2 linked regions of the Caenorhabditis elegans genome follow. The protein of the gene in region 1 purifies or fractionates together with the protein of each later gene. This does not show direct contact. Each region holds a gene or a part of one and is shown on either strand. Other genes may lie near its edges.

The links.
Region 2: the proteins of Y54E10A.17 (region 1) and cysl-1 fractionate together in Caenorhabditis elegans (co-fractionation; one large-scale study listed by BioGRID). This does not show direct contact.

The regions. Positions count from the first base shown.
Region 1 is NC_003279.8:3,204,882-3,210,997, reverse strand, and holds Y54E10A.17 (DOMON domain-containing protein), read right to left. Parts: upstream 4,237-6,116; 5' UTR 4,195-4,236; coding exon 4,090-4,194; intron 3,008-4,089; coding exon 2,921-3,007; intron 2,865-2,920; coding exon 2,732-2,864; intron 2,048-2,731; coding exon 1,983-2,047; intron 1,894-1,982; coding exon of another isoform or gene 1,786-1,893; exon of another isoform or gene 1,219-1,785; coding exon 1,150-1,218; intron 910-1,149; coding exon 772-909; 3' UTR 726-771; downstream 1-725.
Region 2 is NC_003284.9:9,952,027-9,956,459, forward strand, and holds cysl-1 (Cysteine synthase 1), read right to left. Parts: upstream 2,508-4,433; coding exon 2,405-2,507; intron 2,124-2,404; coding exon 2,035-2,123; intron 1,983-2,034; coding exon 1,854-1,982; intron 1,700-1,853; coding exon 1,216-1,699; intron 1,148-1,215; coding exon 1,039-1,147; intron 875-1,038; coding exon 763-874; 3' UTR 553-762; downstream 1-552.

The sequences.
Region 1 (6,116 bases):
CTGAAGAAAACGCGTTTTCTGTGAAGATTCAATACGGCAGAGATAAAAATTTCAATTGAAATTGATTTAATAACACTTAATTTAAAAAGAGAGTTTAACTTTTTCGCAAATTATAATTCATATAAGAAGGAAAGAAAATTGGTGGAAATGAGACCGCCCATGAAGAAAAATCATTTTCTTGTCGAAAAATTAACAATTTCATATTTTAGAGTTGGAATTTTAATTTCAAAATTATTTTAATAAATAATTAATCAATATTTACACAAATGTAAAAAATAACACGAAAAATTTAAAAATCCGCTGATTGGCCTAAACTTCGGTGGCCCAAGACCACACACGAAGATAACTAATTTTCTCATTTTCCAGATGAAAAATTAAGAATTTTATATATTAAAATTGAAATTTCAATTTTAAAACTAATTTAATTTGAAAAAAAAATCAAATTATTCTCAAAAAATGCGAAAAAAATCGATGATTGGCCTAAAATATCGGTGGTCCAAGACCACCCACGAAGAAAAGTGACTACAGTAACCTGTACGTCAACACCATCACGTCAAAATGCACAGACCGCGAAATTTGAAAATAGTTTATCTGAATTTGCGAATATATTAATAAAATGACCATTTAAATTAAGTTTTATATAAGAAAAAGCGATAAATTATTTAAAAATTTTAGAAAAAAGTTTTTTTAACCTCCAATTTCTGAAAAAAATATCGAATTTAATAAAAATAAAACATTTATTGACGAGATCAAGAAGAAAAAAAGTTATTTTTAAAAAGCAGCCGATGGATCAAAAATTCCGTTGAATCGATTCGAAATTCTATTATTATATATGGCAGCCTGTGGTACTGGATCATATGCCACGTCGCGTTCCGTAAATACTCCTGTACACTCATTCGGGCACACGTCCTGTAAGAAAATCATGTCAAATAATGTTAAAATCACGTGGTGCCAGGCTGCCCTAACACGGTTTGATCTACAAAAAATGCGGGAATTTTTCGCCCAAATATATGTGACGTCAGCACGTTCTTAACCATGCGAAATCAGTTGAGAACTCTGCGTCTCTGTTCCCGCATTTTTCGTAGATCTAAGTAGATCAAGCCGAAATGAGACACTCTGACACCACGTGTGAAATGAAAATTTTAATACCGTCAATTGAATTTCCGGGCTGCCGAGGTTCGACACAGATGGTCCATTTAATGGCTGGGCGTTGAAGAACTGAAAACTTGCGCGTAAAGTATGGTGCATTGAGAGGGGCGGAGTTAATACATCGGATTTCACACGCAAGTTTTTTTGGCGGGAAAATCGAATTTTTCAGAGTTTCCGTTACGGATTTCTGGCTTCCCTCATAAATTGAAATGGAAGAGTTTGCCGAACTAGGCCATTTTGGCTCGGCCATATCTGGGGTAGATTTACGGCGCGTTGCGTGTCGCGTCGCGGCTCGGTTTTAGTTGTAAAACTAAATGTATTTGTCCGTGTGGAGTACACGGCTTTCCCACGCGTTGTCCGGCAGGATTGTCAATGGAGGGCGAAAAATTCAATGAGGAAGGCCAGAACCCCGTGTTTCCGAAATTTTTTAAAAATCAAAATCGTCATTTTTGTGGGTTTTTTTTCTATTTTTCTCCACGTGGATTACACAGAACACTTGTCAGTAGAGCACTCTTGCATTTCTGGTATACCCGAGAGTTCCTGGATAGCAAAGCCATAGGTTTATTTTTATTTTTCCAAGCAAAAACAGAATCCCAAATTATTATAAAAATGGAGTGAGCAAAAGAGAGAAAGAAGTTAGTTAAAGATCTTGCGGGTACACTTGTTGGCACAAATTTCCACAGTGTGTGGAGCAGCATTGTGATATCCAATTGATCCGTCTTCGATGGATCCTTCGGTGACGAACTGTAACAGGGTGTTATGAGGAGGTAGGTGGACAGGTTACGGTAGAAGTGGGGGGGGGGGGGGGGAAGTGATATTTTTTGTCAACTTACATTCCATGTTGTGCATGTGGAGAGGGAGCCAACTGGGCGAGCAAATCGAGCCACGAGGGTGTTGCCTGAAACATAATTTGATAATAAATTTGCGCGTGAAATATGGTGTTTTGGAGTGAAGAGACAGCTATGACCTGATACATCAGAATTTACGCGCAAATTCAAATATTGAAGTTTTGCGCGTGAAATTTGATGCATTGTAGCCGGTGTTTGTACATTTTGGCGATAACGATTCAATACATCAGATTCTACGCGCAAATTTAAATTGGCGGATGAAATTAAAAAAAAATTGCGCGTTAAATTTGATGTATTGCCGCCGACAGTTTTAAATTAAAGGTATTACTGGAACACTAAATTTCGAAAATGCGTATTGCGTAACATATTTGACGCGCAAAATATCTCGTAGCGAAAACTACAGTAATTGTTTATCCGACTACTGTAGCGCTTTTGTCGATTTACGGGAACTCGATTTTTGAATGGATCGATCGATAGAATTTTAAAATTAAGCATAAAAATGACAAAAAAAAATCGAGATCCTGTAAATCGACAAAAGCGCTACAGTAGTCAGATAAACAATTACTGTAGTTTTCGCTGCGAGATATTTTGCGCGTCAAATAAGTTGCACAGTACGCATTCTCGACAGTAAGTGTCCCCGTAATAATCTTGGTCAGAACAAGACAAGGCATGGCCTAGAAAAAGACACCTTGGCCTAGTTTTTGATTTTCTAGGCCACGGCGTACTAAACTCACTGTTATAATCGAGAGATTGAAGAGTGACAGATGGAGAAGCATCGAGTGCAGGTGCTCCGTATCCCTGAGTCGTTCCAGTCACAAGGCTTGGCTTAAAGTCTACCACTTGGAAAATGACAACGATTAGATCGCTCTGCAAATTGGAGTTTGTAGTTTTTGTAGTTTGTAGGGGAAAGTAATATTACATACCATATCAGGTCCAAATCCAACTGCTGACCATTCATTGTTTCCAACGTTTTTTGTGGTAACTTCGACAGTTAATTCTCCATCCACAACCTGAAAACATTATATCTTACGCGCAATTTTTTTTTCAAGGAATCACTGCACAAGACACAGGGCCTGCAAACTATTTAGTATTGATATCAGAAACCAGATTTGTTCAGAGAAAAAAAAACCCTAATATTTTTGCGCAGTTTTCACTTTGGCCTGATAAAATCTGATAAAATGACCTTGAGTGTGGCCGAGAAAAAAAAAAGACTCGGCCACCGTATTTTTTGGGGGGTAGGGTAAAGCTGCCTACTTCATGCCTACCTACCAGTTATTTTCTGCCATTTTAAGGAAAAAAAAATTTTTGGCTTAAAATTTCCAGTCGAAATTTTTTTCTAAGTTTTAGTTTTTTCTGAAATTTCACAATTTCAACATTTCAAAAAATGTTTCTTGTAGCCTTTCAGATTTTTTGCAGAAAAAATCAAAAATTACCTCCAAAGTGTTAGGATGGTCATTGTTTTAGGCGAAAAAATTGACTGAAAAGTTTTGAAATTTTTCAAAAAAAAGTATTTTTTAAAATTTTTTCAGATAAAATGAAAATTGTTTCAATGTCATTGAAACATCACAATAACGATATTATTCTCAAAAAGCACATTTTAAGGTATATTTTATTTTTAATTAATTCTTTTAAAAAAACATTTTCAGTTTTTCTAACGTTTCCCTAAAGTTTCATGCCTTTTTCTTTTTTCTAGTTTTTCAATAAATATATTAAGGGAACACTAAAATTCTTAGAATGCGTATTGCACAACATATTTGACGCGCAAAATATCAAAACTACAGTAATTCTTTAAATGACTACTGTAGGTCGATTTACAGGCTCGATTTTCGAAATGATTTTTTTTTTTCGAAAAGTTACATCATTTCAATAATTTACATTTTTCAATAAATTAAAAAATTGAGCCCGTAAATCGACACAAGCGCTACAGTAGCCACTTAAAGGATTACTGTAGTTTTGATATTTTTCGCGTGAAATATGTTGCGCAGTACGCATTCTCAGAATTTTGTGTACCCATAATAGTTGTTCAAAACGATTGGCACCAAGAATCAGTTTAAACAAACCACTTGAGTTGTGCTCAAACAAAATGACTCACCTGCCACCGAGCACTAATATCTCCACTTTTAGCTGTGCATTTAGCTGATTGTGCTCCAAGAATAGCTAGAGAAACACAAAGTGTACCCAACAAGAAGCCGAACATTCTCTGAAATTGGGGAAATATGTTTAAGAAATGAGGAGAGGTGATGGGTTTTGGACTGGTTGGCAGGGATTGTTGGCAAATAATGGAAGGAAAAGTAAGAAAACAAATAGAAGAAGATTGAAGAGAGAGAGAAAAAAGGAAAAAGAAAGAAAATATTGTAAATGAGGAAGCAATTGAAGACATAAGTCGTCTATTAATGACGAATGATAAACCAGATTCGACCCCAAACGACCCGAGTTTTTGTTTCGAGAATTATAGTGTTAGAATATGAGAGAAAGAGAGAAAGAGAGAGTGAATTGTAATATAGATGAAGAGATGAAGACGTTTATCAAGAAACTGAAGGAAAAAAGTTGACTTGGGATTATTATAGTAGTCCCGAAAAAAACTAACAACGAAAAACCGGGAAAAATTGATGGAGAAAAATTGGCAAATTTCCGGAATTAAAATTTGTTTTATTTTTATTTTTGGCAAACTGTCGATTTGCCGAAAAACGGCAAATCGGAAAATTGCCGGAAAAGCGGCAAATTTCCGGATTCGAAAATTCCGGCCAATCGGTGAATCAACATTTTCGGCAAATTCACAGCAAATCGGAAAATTGCCGGAATTGAAATTTCCGGTAAATCGTCGTTTCCGGAATTTCCTGCAAATTGGGAATTTGACAAATTTCTGGCAAATCGCCGGAATTGAAATTTTTGGCAAATCGGCAATTCGGCAAGTTGCCGGAATTGAAATTTCCGGTAAATTGTCGTTTCCCAAATTTCTGGCAAATCAGCAAATTGCCAGAATTGAAAATTCCGGCAAATCGGCAAATCGCCGGAATTACAATTTCCGGTAAATCGGCATTTCCGGCAAATTGGCAAATCGGCATTTCTGGCAAATTTCCGGCAAATCGGCATTTCCGGCAAATTGGCAAATTGCCAGAATCGAAATTTCCGGCAAATCGGCAATTCCGCAAATTGCTGGAACTGATTTTTTTTATTTTTGACAAACTGCTGATTTGCCGAATTTGCCGAAAAAACAGCAAATCGGAATAATTCGAAAAAAATGTTTTAAAAATTAACAGAACATTTTACAATTTTCTAATTCTAAAAAGGAATTTTGAAAAGGAAAAAAATTTTTTTTTTCTCGGAATATATTGGAAAATCGAAAAAATTTAGGTTTTCTATTTTAAATTCGAGCGCAAACCAAGGCTGCGCCGACCAATCAGCACATTTTGTCATTCGCTGATTGGTCAGCGCTTTCCTCATTTGCGCGCGCACGTGGTGCCAGAGTGTCTCATTTCGGTTTGATCTACATAGATCTACAAAATATGTGGGAGAAGAGACGCAGAGTTCTCAACTGATTTCGCATGGTTAAGAATGTGCTAACGTCACTTTTTTCCGGGCAAAAAATTCCCGCATTTTTTGTAGATCAAGCCTTTATGGGACAGCCTGGCACCACGTGTACTAAATGAAATTTTTTGAGAAATAAACCGCTTAAAATAACCAGGAAAACGACCTACTTCTCCATTTTTCTCTGGCTTACAGAGATCACGACCAAAATTCGTTTAGAAAGAATAAAGAACAGTTTTGGGGATGAACAGGTCGCCGTAGCAGTGATCTTATCATATTGTGGGTGAAAAAAAATGATTAAGTGACGTTTCAGGGTCATTGGCAGAAGGAAGAATTGGAAAAAAATAGGTTGATCAAAAGATGACGCTGACTTTGGCGAAGTTCCTTTAGTCATTTTTTGCCGATTTGCCGGATATTTTATTTCGGGCTAATTGCCGATAAGAAAAAAAAAATTATTTTAAAGTTGGGATCGAGATATTTATAGTAAATCGTTGAGACATATTTAGTTCATCAGGGGTAAACAGAAAGAAATTGTTGATTTTAGGGGTGTTTCAATGAAGAGCAATGGAGCATTGAAACAACTAATGACTC
Region 2 (4,433 bases), on another chromosome or scaffold:
TCATTCAGTAGCCCTTATTAGGATTGTTTTAATTTCGCAAATATGCTACTAGAACTTTTCCATTACTCTTTTCCAAAAAGATGGGTACGTGAACCATTTAAGTTTATGTCAATTCAACTGAACATGTTCAAAGGAGTCAGCTAGAAAACTGTGAACTTTCCGCTCAAATAATTTCATAGTGAAACCATCAAACCAGACCTCCGTGGTATAGTTTTCCGATTTGATAAAGATCGCGTTAAATATCCATACTACTAATTAAATTGAACTTCTCGCTTGAAACCACATGCAGCGTTTGTCTCGTTGGCCACCACTATCGGTGAAAGAATTTTTCTGGCGATTAGCCAAACCAGGTTTCATTCCTCCTTATTAGGGTCAGTGTTTCTATCTGCACTGACCTTTTCATGAGACATCGACAAGCCTATTTCATGCCTCACTGTGCTAATGGTTTAATTGTTTTTAAAAAAGTCGGTTATCCTCCCAGTTTCGTCAGTTCAACACCAATCTTAGTGTCTGCGGGTTCAAAGCATACAAGCTATCTTAGATCACAGTACAAAACACTAATTGCATTTATTGAAAAAATAGACAGCGGAACATTTACATGGAAAAAATACGAAAGAATGCAAATTATTATAATGTGTAGGTTTTTTGATTGAATTACCAGCCGATTTATCATTTTTAGTGAGTAACAACCTTGATAATTTTTGGGTGAAAGAATTTAAATGAAAGAAAAAAGAAAAAAGTGAGATGAATTTTTGATTTAAATCACTCCATAATATCATAGTTGTGAAGACATAACTTCTTCAAGTTTGCCTCCAAGCTTTCGACTGCCAGAGCCATAGCGCTTTCGCGGATGTCGGTGTACAAAGGAGAGGTCCTGGAAAAATGGTTTTTAAGATCAATCACAGTAAATTGTACATGATTACTACGTTAAAGATTCAATAGTTGTTTAACTTTCTATCAGAAATACTCAACATCCGAGGAATCAGATGCAAACTACTAGCTCACATCACAAGTAACATTTTAAGTCAGTCATCTTACATGTATCGTTCTCCACAGCTTGGCAAACAAGTCACAATGAGCTTTCCAGCCATTTCTGGGCGAGCAGCCAACTGAAGTGCAGCTGCAACATTAGCTCCGGAGGAAATTCCTAAAATATAGAATTTTAAAAACATACTTCTTTCAAACTATCAAAGCAAACACAGTCACACAACCTACCGCCAAGAAGACCTTCTTCATAGGAAAGTCTTTGAGCCATGACAATAGCCTCATCGGAATGAATTCGAATTACGTCTTCATAGATCTTTGTGTCCAAAACAGCTGGAGCAAACCCTGCTCCAATGCCTTGAATTTTGTGTGGACCGGCTGGTCTGCCGCTGAGTATAGCGGATTCTTCTGGCTCCACAGCAAACACGCGGACACCTGGATTCTGCTCTTGCAAGTATCTGCCAACTCCGGTAATTGTTCCACCAGTTCCAACCCCAAAAACAACAGCGTCTACTGTCCCTTTGGTTTGTCTCCAAATTTCTGGTCCAGTTGTTTGATAGTGAACAAGTGGATTATTTGGGTTGTCAAATTGAGCAAGAATGATAGACCCTGGAATGTTTTCCTTCAGCTGGTTAGCCATGTCAATCGCTCCTTTCATTCCTTTCGCTGGGTCTGTCAAGACCACCTCGGATCCATATGCTTTGAGAAGAGTTCTCTGTAAGATATATATTTTATATGTTAAAAAATTTTCAACCCGGAGATTTGTTTAAAATCACAGATGACACAACTGTACTCAATAGCTAAAAAAAAAGGTTTCAGTACTGGCAATTCCTGGGGTGAAGATTTGCATCCATAAGATCAATACTCACGCGTTCTCCACTCATAGATGCTGGCATTGTGACAATACATCTATACCCCTTGGCGGCAGCAACAAAAGCCAATGCGATTCCAGTGTTTCCTGATGTTGGCTCAATGAGCGTGGTCACTCCCGGGATCACCTTAAAAAATTTTAATGCAATTTTTTGAACAATGGTATTGTTGATGAAGCACCGTTCCATCTTTTTCGGCCGCTGCAAGCATTGCCGCTCCAATACGATCTTTGACCGATCCCGCTGGATTCATGTATTCGATTTTTACAGCTGTAAACTTGAAAATTATAATAGGATAATTGGACTTTTGTTTCTTCTTGAAAATTCAAAACATTTTTGATTTGTAAAATTCAATTTTATCTACGTTCTGGTTTTACTATTTTTCGTACTTTCTTTTAAGTGAGACTATTTGTCAAAGTTATATTTTGTTGAGAAGTTACAAAACTCGGTTACAGTGGTATTGCATAAAAGAAACAAAAAAATTCAAAGTTTCACCAGTATTGTTCAAAACATTTTTTAAGATTTCGTTTAATTCAAATGAATAAACCAACCAACTGTCCCTGGAAGTCCTTTTGTCAATTTATTGATGTACACCATGGGTGTGTTGCCAATAAGCGCGGCAGCATTTTCGCCAATAGAGTTGCGATCAGCCATCTGAAACATCGACTATGAGTTAAATGAGAGTGTAGACAATAACGAGAGAACGCAGAAAAGGGAAAACTATATCACAGGAAAGAAATATTTTAAACTATCAATGACTATTGGCACGGAAACAAAATATTTTTCTATCATCTGTTTCTGCTGGTTTTGACACCAAACTCCAAATGATAGTTGGACTTTTAAACAGAAGGAGATAAGGAGATAAAGAAAATGTTATAAGATAGGGAGAGATAGACGACACATGTCTAAGTACATGTTGTGTAGCGGAACGAATGCACAATCAGCTGGCATTTCTTAAAGGTTGGCACACATCTAATGAGCCATTGAATGAACATTCTAAGGAAGCAATGAGGAAACAAACAGAACACGCAACACAACGAGCAAGAGATAGAAGAATATCCCGTTGTTGTATCTTATAGAGCAGCTGCAACGAGACAGATTTATAAAAATGAAGTGAGCAAGTAAGGAGAGAATGAATCCACGATAAGATAATAAAACAACAATAACCGCTCAGTATGACATAATTGCATTATGCAAATGTCGGTGAGCTGGAAAATTTACAATGGGAAAAGAAGAGATGATATCCATTTATTAGAAACTGGGACATTTTTGATGATAAAAGGTAAACCACTTCGTATTTTTCCCGAAAGTATAAATTAAACTTTTTAGGAACTCAGACAGAGTTATTTCAAAAAATTGTTATTTTCTAGATCAAGCACGATAAACTCCAAACATGGAAAAGCATTTACATGTACATCTATTATAGGTAATTAGGAATAGTTTATCCTGAATAACCTTTATGAGTCATGAGTTAAACAAAACACGAAAACGCCCCACTCACCGGATTAAACCAATGAAAAGTACTTGCACGTTTCGATATATACTTAGTGTTCTTGTTTTGTAAAAATAGCAAATGCAACAACTAACCGGCTGGTATTATTTTGATCTTTTGAAACTGCACTTATTAATGAAACATTTCATTCTTTGAAGTGGAATCTTGTTGCAAAAATTGAAGGATGTAAAAAATGGATCTCCTGTCATCTAATAGAAACATTCACACGCTTTTTCCATTTTCTTTTTCTTCTAAGAAAACTCCGAGAAGGATGAAATAGGAGGTGATGGGGAGTTTTCTTAATAAAAAATATAATGAACAAACGATCAAATTACACGATATCGCGAGGCGTTTTCAGAATTTACTTCAAAAAGTAAACTTTGATCATTTTAAAACGGCAGTTCTTAAAGAGCATTAGACCTTTTTACAGTTTCTATCTGGATATGTTTCAAAATTCTTTGAAAACACATTTGATGATTGAGAAAACCAATAATAGTAGTGTCGAAATAGTGTGAAGTAAGCAAAAAGTAGTAGTTTGCATGCAATAATGTCCAGAAAGCAAAAGGTCACTCGTGCTATTTCTTCTATGCACTTCAGACTTCATCAGTAGCATGGGAAAATTCCCACGTCGTCCAGAAACGTTGAATATAAGAATTATACTGTCGAGCATGCATTTATCTCTATATCTTTTGCAAAAAGATATAAAACACAAACGATAAAAAGAAAAGAACAAAACTGGATTGTGGAGACCTACCAAGGTTGATAAATAAATTAAAAAGCGGTAACAGAGACAATTTTTGTTAATTTCTTTGTTGATGAAATTACAACGATGAATTGAATAACAATTTCCACACGCATGCTGTTTCATTCATATATACTTTGACCACTGGGACTACTTCTCAGTTAAGATGTAGAGATCAAAAGATGAAAATCTAGCGAAACGCATACGCATGGGAGCATAACTGACGGATAAAAGCTTATTAGCTTTGCGACCAGAGTAGAAACATTAATATGGACCTCGAGAGCATTAAATGTAAATGAAAGAGCATGCAGAACACTCGGGATTTGGGAGAATAAATTGAAAACTG